Linked DNA regions of Alligator mississippiensis. The protein of the gene in region 1 purifies or fractionates together with the protein of each later gene. This does not show direct contact. Links are inferred from orthologs where the notes say so. Each region holds a gene or a part of one and is shown in the gene's direction. Other genes may lie near its edges.

The links. Proteins that work in one complex are often made in the same cells at the same time.
Region 2: the proteins of XPO1 (region 1) and RCC1 purify together in Homo sapiens (affinity purification with mass spectrometry; 3 studies listed by BioGRID and IntAct, with this or other methods). This does not show direct contact. The link is inferred for Alligator mississippiensis from reciprocal best matches to the Homo sapiens genes XPO1 and RCC1.

The regions. Positions count from the first base shown.
Region 1 is NC_081824.1:212,302,862-212,306,603, reverse strand, and holds the start of XPO1 (exportin-1), read left to right. Parts: upstream 1-1,122; 5' UTR 1,123-1,261; intron 1,262-1,611; 5' UTR 1,612-1,629; intron 1,630-3,742. UniProt on the Homo sapiens protein: Mediates the nuclear export of cellular proteins (cargos) bearing a leucine-rich nuclear export signal (NES) and of RNAs.
Region 2 is NC_081829.1:2,129,154-2,132,895, reverse strand, and holds the start of RCC1 (regulator of chromosome condensation), read left to right. Parts: upstream 1-731; 5' UTR 732-811; intron 812-1,339; 5' UTR 1,340-1,351; coding exon 1,352-1,424; intron 1,425-1,767; coding exon 1,768-1,955; intron 1,956-2,507; coding exon 2,508-2,687; intron 2,688-2,773; coding exon 2,774-2,870; intron 2,871-3,484; coding exon 3,485-3,607; intron 3,608-3,742. UniProt on the Homo sapiens protein: Guanine-nucleotide releasing factor that promotes the exchange of Ran-bound GDP by GTP, and thereby plays an important role in RAN-mediated functions in nuclear import and mitosis.

The DNA.
Region 1 (3,742 bases):
GGTTCTTCAAAGAATGACCAAGACAGTGAAACCCCAGGTACAAATGCCAGGGAATGTGGAAGCCCAACTCGTGCCATGACAGTTCAAAACCCAAATCAAAGAGGTCCAAGAAGGCACCAAGCGAGGGTTCAAACCTTGTGCTCAGGAGAGTTTATCATTCCTCTCTCTCATGAGAAAATCACCCACTGACTCCTCGATTTGCATCTTAACTGACGGCCTTTCTTGCATGCACACCAGCCTCTGGCTTACTATCCATTCCCTCCAGAAAGAGCGTACACCAGCTGCAGGGGCTTCCTCATTCTGACGAAGGGTATTTATACCCGAAAGCTTGCAAAGAAGTTTTCCAACTATTTGCGTTGGCCTAATACAAGATATCACATTTATCCAAAGAACCTTGTCTGGAAACGTTGAGCTTATTTCTTAGGACAGAAACGGGTTTGCAAGTCAACCTCTTGCACGGACCTTCTCCTAGCATGGGTTGCAGCTGCAGGGACTGAGGCTACTGCAGGGACGAGCCCAGGGATCTACCCCGCTTCCTACAGAGCAACGGGCTCCTACAGCCCTCTCTCCACCCCGAGACAGGCAGGCAGCGGCGAACAGACCGCGCTACCCTGCCCCGCTGCGCAACGCCAAGGGGCCCCACCCCTCCCCCCAAGGCAAAGCCAAGCACCGCCCCTCCCTCCACGCGCCTTTGTGATCACGCACCCCCACTCCACTCGTACAAGCCCGCCATTAAAAAAAAAAAAGAAAAAATAAAAAGAAAAAAAGCGCCGCTCTCTACCTCTACGTCATTCCAAGCGCCCAGCCAATCAGCAACAGGCCCCCTTCCCCCGCGCCCGCGGGGTTGCGAGCTGGGGGCGGGCTCGCGCTCTTTGAGCGACAGCTCAGCGCGGCCAGTGAGAAAGCAGCACCACTCCCCTCCTCCCCACCTCCTTGCGCGCTCAAATGACTGCTGGGGAGGGGGCGGGTCCTCTCCTCCCCCCTCCCTCCCCTCTCAGCCTCGCAAGAGATGGGCAGGCCAGCCGGCCAATGAGAGGCACAGCCGCTTGCGCGGCGGCCCCGGCGGGAGCCAATGGGAGTGGCGGCTGGGCGGAGGCCCGAGGTTTCCAAACGCTCCGCGGCGCCATGGGCTGAAAACTAAACCGAGATGGAATCTCCCAGTCTGAACCGGTTTGAGCCGGTTCCGAGCCTGTGGCACTAGGAGGGGGAGACGCGCCGCGCTCAGTCCCTACCGCCGCCGCCTCCGCCACCGCGTGTGCCTGTGTGTGTGGGGGGGACCTGCCGCCGCTCCGGGAGGCCGAGCGCAGCTGCGGAGCCGCCGCCGCTCCGGGGGGAGGGACATGGGGGCGCAGTGAGCGCGCGCGGCCCCGCACCCCCAGGCCCGGCCTGGCCTGGCCCGGCGCGCAGGCGGCGGGGGGAGCCCCGCGCACGCAGCCCGGCCCGGAGGCGGCAGCAGGGGCACAGTCGAGCCCTCCCGGCGGCGGGCGGGGACCCACGTCCACCCGCCCGCCCGCGGGGCAGCAGCGGCCTAGGCGCGGGGCGGCTCCCGCGACTTTTTTTTTTCCCTCCCCTTTTTTTTTCCCCCTTCATTTTTTTTTTTTATTTTCAAAGGCTGCCAGCTCCACTCGGGTGAGTGCCGCGGGGGGGAGGAGGCGCGTGTGCGGCAGGGGCGGCCGCGGGCTTCGCGGAGGGGTTGAGGGAGGCTGGCGGGAAGCGGTGGGGTGCGGGGGGAGGGGGCGGCGGGTCGGGATCTGCAAATTATTAGGAGTGGAAGTTTCCAGAAATATTTTCGTGTGTCTGTGCAGCAGGATTGAAACGTCCCCCCGCGTCACGTGGGGGCCTGTGTGGAGCGCGCGGCTCGGGCGGAGGGAGGGGCTGCAGTGGTGGCCCTGCCGCCGCCGTCGCGCCGGGCCTTGCCGTCCGTGCCCGCGCCCGCGCAGGGGGGGGGGGGCTTGCATCAAAATAATAACGATAATCATGATGTGTTTAAGGAGGGATGTGGTGTCCGCGCTGCAGTGGCGGGGGGAGGGTGCCTGGGAGCTCCCGCTGCAAGCGGAAGGCTCTTGCTTTGGAGGGCGCTGGAGCCACGCGGCGGGCGCGCACGCGGCTTTTTGCCTGGAAAGTTGCTTTCTGGTGGCCTGTGTGCTTGAATCCCTGCCCCCCCCAGCACGTGTGCACATGCAGGCGGTTGGAGAGTTTTATTAGGGATTTTGTGTGCGCGGGATGGAAAGGAGCTGATTATTCGCACCCCTGGTGGGTGGGTGGGTGGTTTCACATGTGACTTGTCCTTGCAGGTTGGGCCACTTCCTAGCCTAAAATGGGGCGTGGTGGGGATTTTCTGCTAGCCCTGTGCTTAAATGAAATTACTGTTTCCCCCCAAGCCTTAAGCAGTTGTCGCCTTTTGTAGAGTTGAATTTGACCTAGAGGTTATCCTTCCTTCCCCCTGCTCTTTGGAAGTGCACCCTATTCCAGCAGCCCAGGTCTTTTAGAAGCAGGGTGCAGATCTGTTATGTAGCCACAGACTTTGCTTTCAGCACAAGTGTTTTTGTACTTCTGCAAGGCTGCTCAGGCTTGGCTCCACTGCATGAACGGTTGGCTCATTCTTTTGGGCTTCTATAAACATCTGGTTCTTTCCATGTGGCCTACTTTCATTTTTCATTGACTTGTTTAGTTGTCTTTCCTTTACTTGTTTTGCTGTCAGTATCCAGGTTTATTAGGAGTGTTTTGAGTTAATCTAGTGCAGCACTTGGAGGTAATGCTTAAACTCTGCTTTGGTTCATGTGGGGAGGTGGTGTGTAGTAAATCAAACGTTACAGTTCTGAGGTAATCATTTCGGCTAGGAGTAAGTAAGGAATCAAGTTGATCAGAGGGAGGCTGGCATTGACCACAAAGCCGCCATTTCGGTACTTCACATCAAGACTAGGTAGGTCATTTGAAGATAATGCTGGGAGTGGCAAAGAGCTCTAATCCGAACATTTCCTTTCTGCTTCCGTGGGGCTAACTTTCCTTAGTCACGTGGAAGATGAAGTGTGTTTTTACCACTTGTTTTAAAGTGGTTGAAGGAGATTTAAACTTAAAATAAATGTGGTTACTAGTGGAATATGTTGATTTAAATGTTGGCTGAATTGAAAAACGGCTACCCTGTTCCCTGGTTAGAGAGCGCAGATGCAAACTGAAAGGGGTGTGTCTGACTGAGTGCATTTGGGTGAAGAGGGGGGTTATTTGTTCTTAAAGATTGAATCGATTGGGCGGTTTTTTTGGTTTGGTGTTTTGTTTTTTGGTTTTTTTTTTACTAAATACTACTTACTGCTTTGTCTGAGGTACAGTTGAGAGGGAGTCTTCCAGAGCTAAAAGGAACTAAGCGTGTCAGTGTGCTTGTGTACTATTCAGCCTATTTTACACTCCTGTATCTGTCCTTTGTATAATCCTAAAGGAGGTGTGGAATCCAGAGAAAAACATGACAACTATGTAGGATTTTTTGAAGTCTATAAGCCACTTTTTTTAGATTTGGTGTATATCTTTCTGGATAAACTTGTCCTATACATGCTGGCATTTACACTAAAAATGCTAACGATGCAAAAATGTAACTAAAAATTGAACGATGATATTCATGTGTTGCCACCATGCTGAATTAATGAATTTCATGATTTTAAAGCAAAGTTCATATATTTCTCATTGGTATTTAAGTAGTAGTATTCTGTTTTATCTATAAATAGAAAACCTGTTTAGCATTATTTAGTTA
Region 2 (3,742 bases), on another chromosome or scaffold:
ATTTGGGACTTTGTCTTTACCAACTGGGGGCTGCTGGGTGTTTGCTCTTGTTCTGCTCTTGGGTGGCTGGTTTGTATCTGTTTAACAGACGGGGGAAGTTGAATCTGAGAAATGACTTTGCAAAGGCTGGGCATCTTGACTCGCTCTTAACAGAGCACGGGGCCTTGTGCATCTGCAAAATATGTTGCGGGCACCACCTTTGGAGAACTGCCCCAACTTCCCACCGACGTCAAGAGCCACACAACCTAGCGCGTGGGGCTACTTGCAACACCTCGCTTCTCTCGTCTTCCGCAGTGAGGAACTAAGAGTAAGAGATTCATGATGGCTCGGGTGAGCTGCGTGATGGCCTCGGTTGCTACCCTGCAGCAAGATGAGGTGGTTGTGTTGCATGTCTGTGCCAGGGGCAGGATGCGCTGGAGGCAAGGCTGAAGTCCCCCAGGCTTGCTGCTGGCGGCTGGGGCAAAAAGGTTGGGGTATAAGCTGCAGGACAGAAGCCGGTAGGAAGCAGGAGGTTCAGGCCTCCTCGGGGGGGTCCTCTGAGCCCTGCACACTCCTGCCTTCCCCGCCCGGGGGTTGGAGCCCGGTCCGTGAAGTGACCCGTGTGCACGGAGCGATGACCCCCGCCCGGTCCTGGCCCGGGGGAGGCCGGGCTTGCTCGGGATCGCGCTGCAGGATCCGGCGGCTGCCGGCTGGGGGCGCCGAGCTGTCCCTCTCGGTGCCCGGCTCTCGGGCGCATGCTCCGGATTAAAGCGAGTGGCGGCCGGTGGCGGTGGGGGGCAAGGGGCAGAGAGCGGCGCGGAGCGGAGCGGAGGTGAGGCGAGGCGCAGCGGCGGGGGCTCCGGCGCGGGGGCTCGGCGTCCCCGCCCCCGCTCGGCGTGGGGGTGCCCGGTGCGGCCCCACGTGGCGCTGGGGCATGGAACGCGGCGTGTCCCAGCGTTCCGGGCACTGAACGCGGCGGGGTCCGAACGTTCCGGGCACGGAACGCGGCGTGTCCCAACGTTCCAGCCCTGGAACGCGGCCGGGGCCCGAACGTTCGGTGCCCGGAAGCCGAGCGCGGCGGGCCGGGAGGCGGGGGGGGCCCGGCGGGCTCGGGGCCTGCCCTGCGCGGCTGCCAGCGCGGGAAGTTCAAACCCGGGCGCTGCCCCCGAGCCCCGGGCCGGGCCGGGCCAGGCCGGGGTGGGATCGCGCTCCCCCAGCCCCGGGGCCTGCCTCCCTCCCTCCCTCCCGCATGTCCAGCCTGCAGCAAATCCGGGGTTTCCGGGAGGCCTCTCTTGGCTTCTCTCTGTTTTCCAACCCGGCTTCCTGGCAATCTCTCACCTTCTTCTTTTCCGGGGCGCAGGTGCAGAGCAGCATGTCCGGGAAGCGCGCGGCGAGGAAGAGCCCGCTGCCCGAGGATGGCTCTCCGGAGAAGAAGAGGGTTAAAGGTAGGTCTGCAGAGTTTTCTCCGCCGTCGCAGGCCTCTGACCCCCTGTGCGGTCTTTCTCTGGGAGGAGGCAGGCTGCGGCGCTGCTTGCAAAGCCCAGGTGCGTTCGTGCCCCGTGCCCCTGTGTCTGCTCCCTGACAGCTTGTGTAGACACCTGTGGGCAGCACGGGGCAGGTCTGGCTGCAGCCCCCGGTCCCTTTCACTGGTGCCCAGCGCAGGAGGGTGGCATTGGGTGAGCCCCTCCTTCCCACGGCTTTGGAAGGCCCGTCTCGAGGTGCCGTTTCATGACCCTGCCGCCTGCGCCCTGGTTTTTCGAGCCTTCCCCTTCCTTTCCTCCTGTGCAGTCTGCCACGCGTCCCACCGGACAGAGCCTGGGCTGGTGCTGACGCTGGGGCAGGGCGACGTTGGGCAGCTGGGCCTCGGGGAGGACGTGATGGAGAGGAAGCGGCCGGCCCTGGTGCAGCTGCCGGAGAAGATCATCCAGGCGGAAGCAGGAGGCATGCACACGGTCTGCCTGAGCGTGACGGGCAAGGTGAGTCCCCGGCACCTTCGCCCACGGTGGGTTGCAGTGTCGGGATGGGCTCAGTCAAAGGCCTGGGGGCTTTGTTGGGCACCCTCACTTGGAGCTGGCTTGTGTCAGGTTGCTGGCATAGTTGTGTTGGCAAGGGGGGCAGCGGAAAGTCCCCAGCAGCCCCCTCCCCCTGGCCGGCGTAGCTGGGCTGAGAGAATCCCTGACGGGAGGCAGCTTTGCCTGCAGAAACAGGCTTCTTCCAGCTGAGCTGAGGCTAGTCCAGGGCAGGGTGCTGCTGGCTGGGAGCCCTGCCTGGTGCTGTTGGCTTGAAGCAAGCAGGCTCTTCTCTGCTGCCCTGGTGAGGTCTCATACTAGCCCCCTCCTACGAGCCACCCTGGGGGGTAGCGGGCTGGGCGTGGGCATGCAGAACCAGGGTAAGTGACCCCATGGATGTGTGTGTGTCTCCATGCCCATGGTCATCCACGGCGGGCTGGCTGGTAGATCTCTGGGTTGGAGCCGGGCGTCTCCTTGTGCCACTGGGCACCTTTCTCACTGCCACGTTTCCACGTGCAGGTGTACACCTTCGGCTGCAATGACGAGGGGGCCTTGGGACGCGACACCTCCGAGGAGGGCTCGGAGACTAGGCCGGGCCTGGTGGAGCTGGAGGAAAAGATCGTGCAGGTCTCTGCCGGTGACAGCCACACCGCAGCGCTGACGGACGACGGCCGCGTCTTCCTCTGGGGCTCCTTCCGGGTAAGCCGGCTGCCCGGGCGCTGAGAGCTTGCTGGGTCTTCCCAAGTTGGGAACTGACCCTCCTTGTGTCTCGTCTCCGCTCTCAGGACAACAACGGCGTCATCGGCCTGCTGGAGCCCATGAAGAAGAGCGTGGTGCCCATGGAGCTGCAGCTGCGGTCATCCATCATCAAGATAGTCTCAGGTGAGCCTGGTGCCTGTGCCTGGGGGATGAGCTGCTCCCACCAGGTTTGGAGTCTCCCTCGCTGCTCTTTGCCACCGGCTGTGCTGAGAATCCAGCATCCCTCCTTTGCTGCTGTCGAGCCCAGGCTTTCTCGCTGACCCCAGGCATGCAGCGCCTCTGTCCCTTGGAAGCAGGGAGCCAAGGAGGTGTGCCCAGACCACAGACAGGGGCGTTGGTGACTGTTATTAGGCCCTACCAGCACAACTGTGTCAAGTCAGGATGTGAAAAGTGGGCATCTCTGCCTGCAGGTTTAGCAGCTGGCGGGCTTGGGATCAGCCAGGTGTTCGTGGCATGCAAGAGTGAAATGCCGTTGAGCGTTAGCATTGCACGCTCAATGCATATATGCGCCTTGGCTCTTCTGGGCTAGCTCAAAGAGGAAAGCTTCTGGCTTCTCTCTGCATAGTGAGGCTTTTCTGTGGCTTTTGGAGCTGGGCACGGTCTCTGGCAGTCTCCCGGGGGTTCCCAGCAAGGTGGCTCTCCAGGGGAAGTCGCAGACACCCGTGCATTTAGCAGGAGGATGGGAGTGCAGCAGGAAGGGCTGTTGTTTACCCCCCCTTCCCTCTTTGTCACCCCAGGAAATGACCACCTGGTCACGCTGGCCACAGACGGAAGCCTCTACACATGCGGCTGCGGAGAGCAGGGCCAGCTGGGCCGCGTGCCGGAGCTGTTCTCCAACAGGGGAGGGCGGAAAGGACTGCGTGAGTTGTGCTGCATGTCTTGAGCATTAAAGACCGGCTTGAATCTTCCTGGACAGGGGCTGCCTGCCCGGCCAGTCCTCAGCCCTTCTGTTTGTGCTCTGTAGCTAACAGAGCAATGTGGGTCTTGTCGAAGTT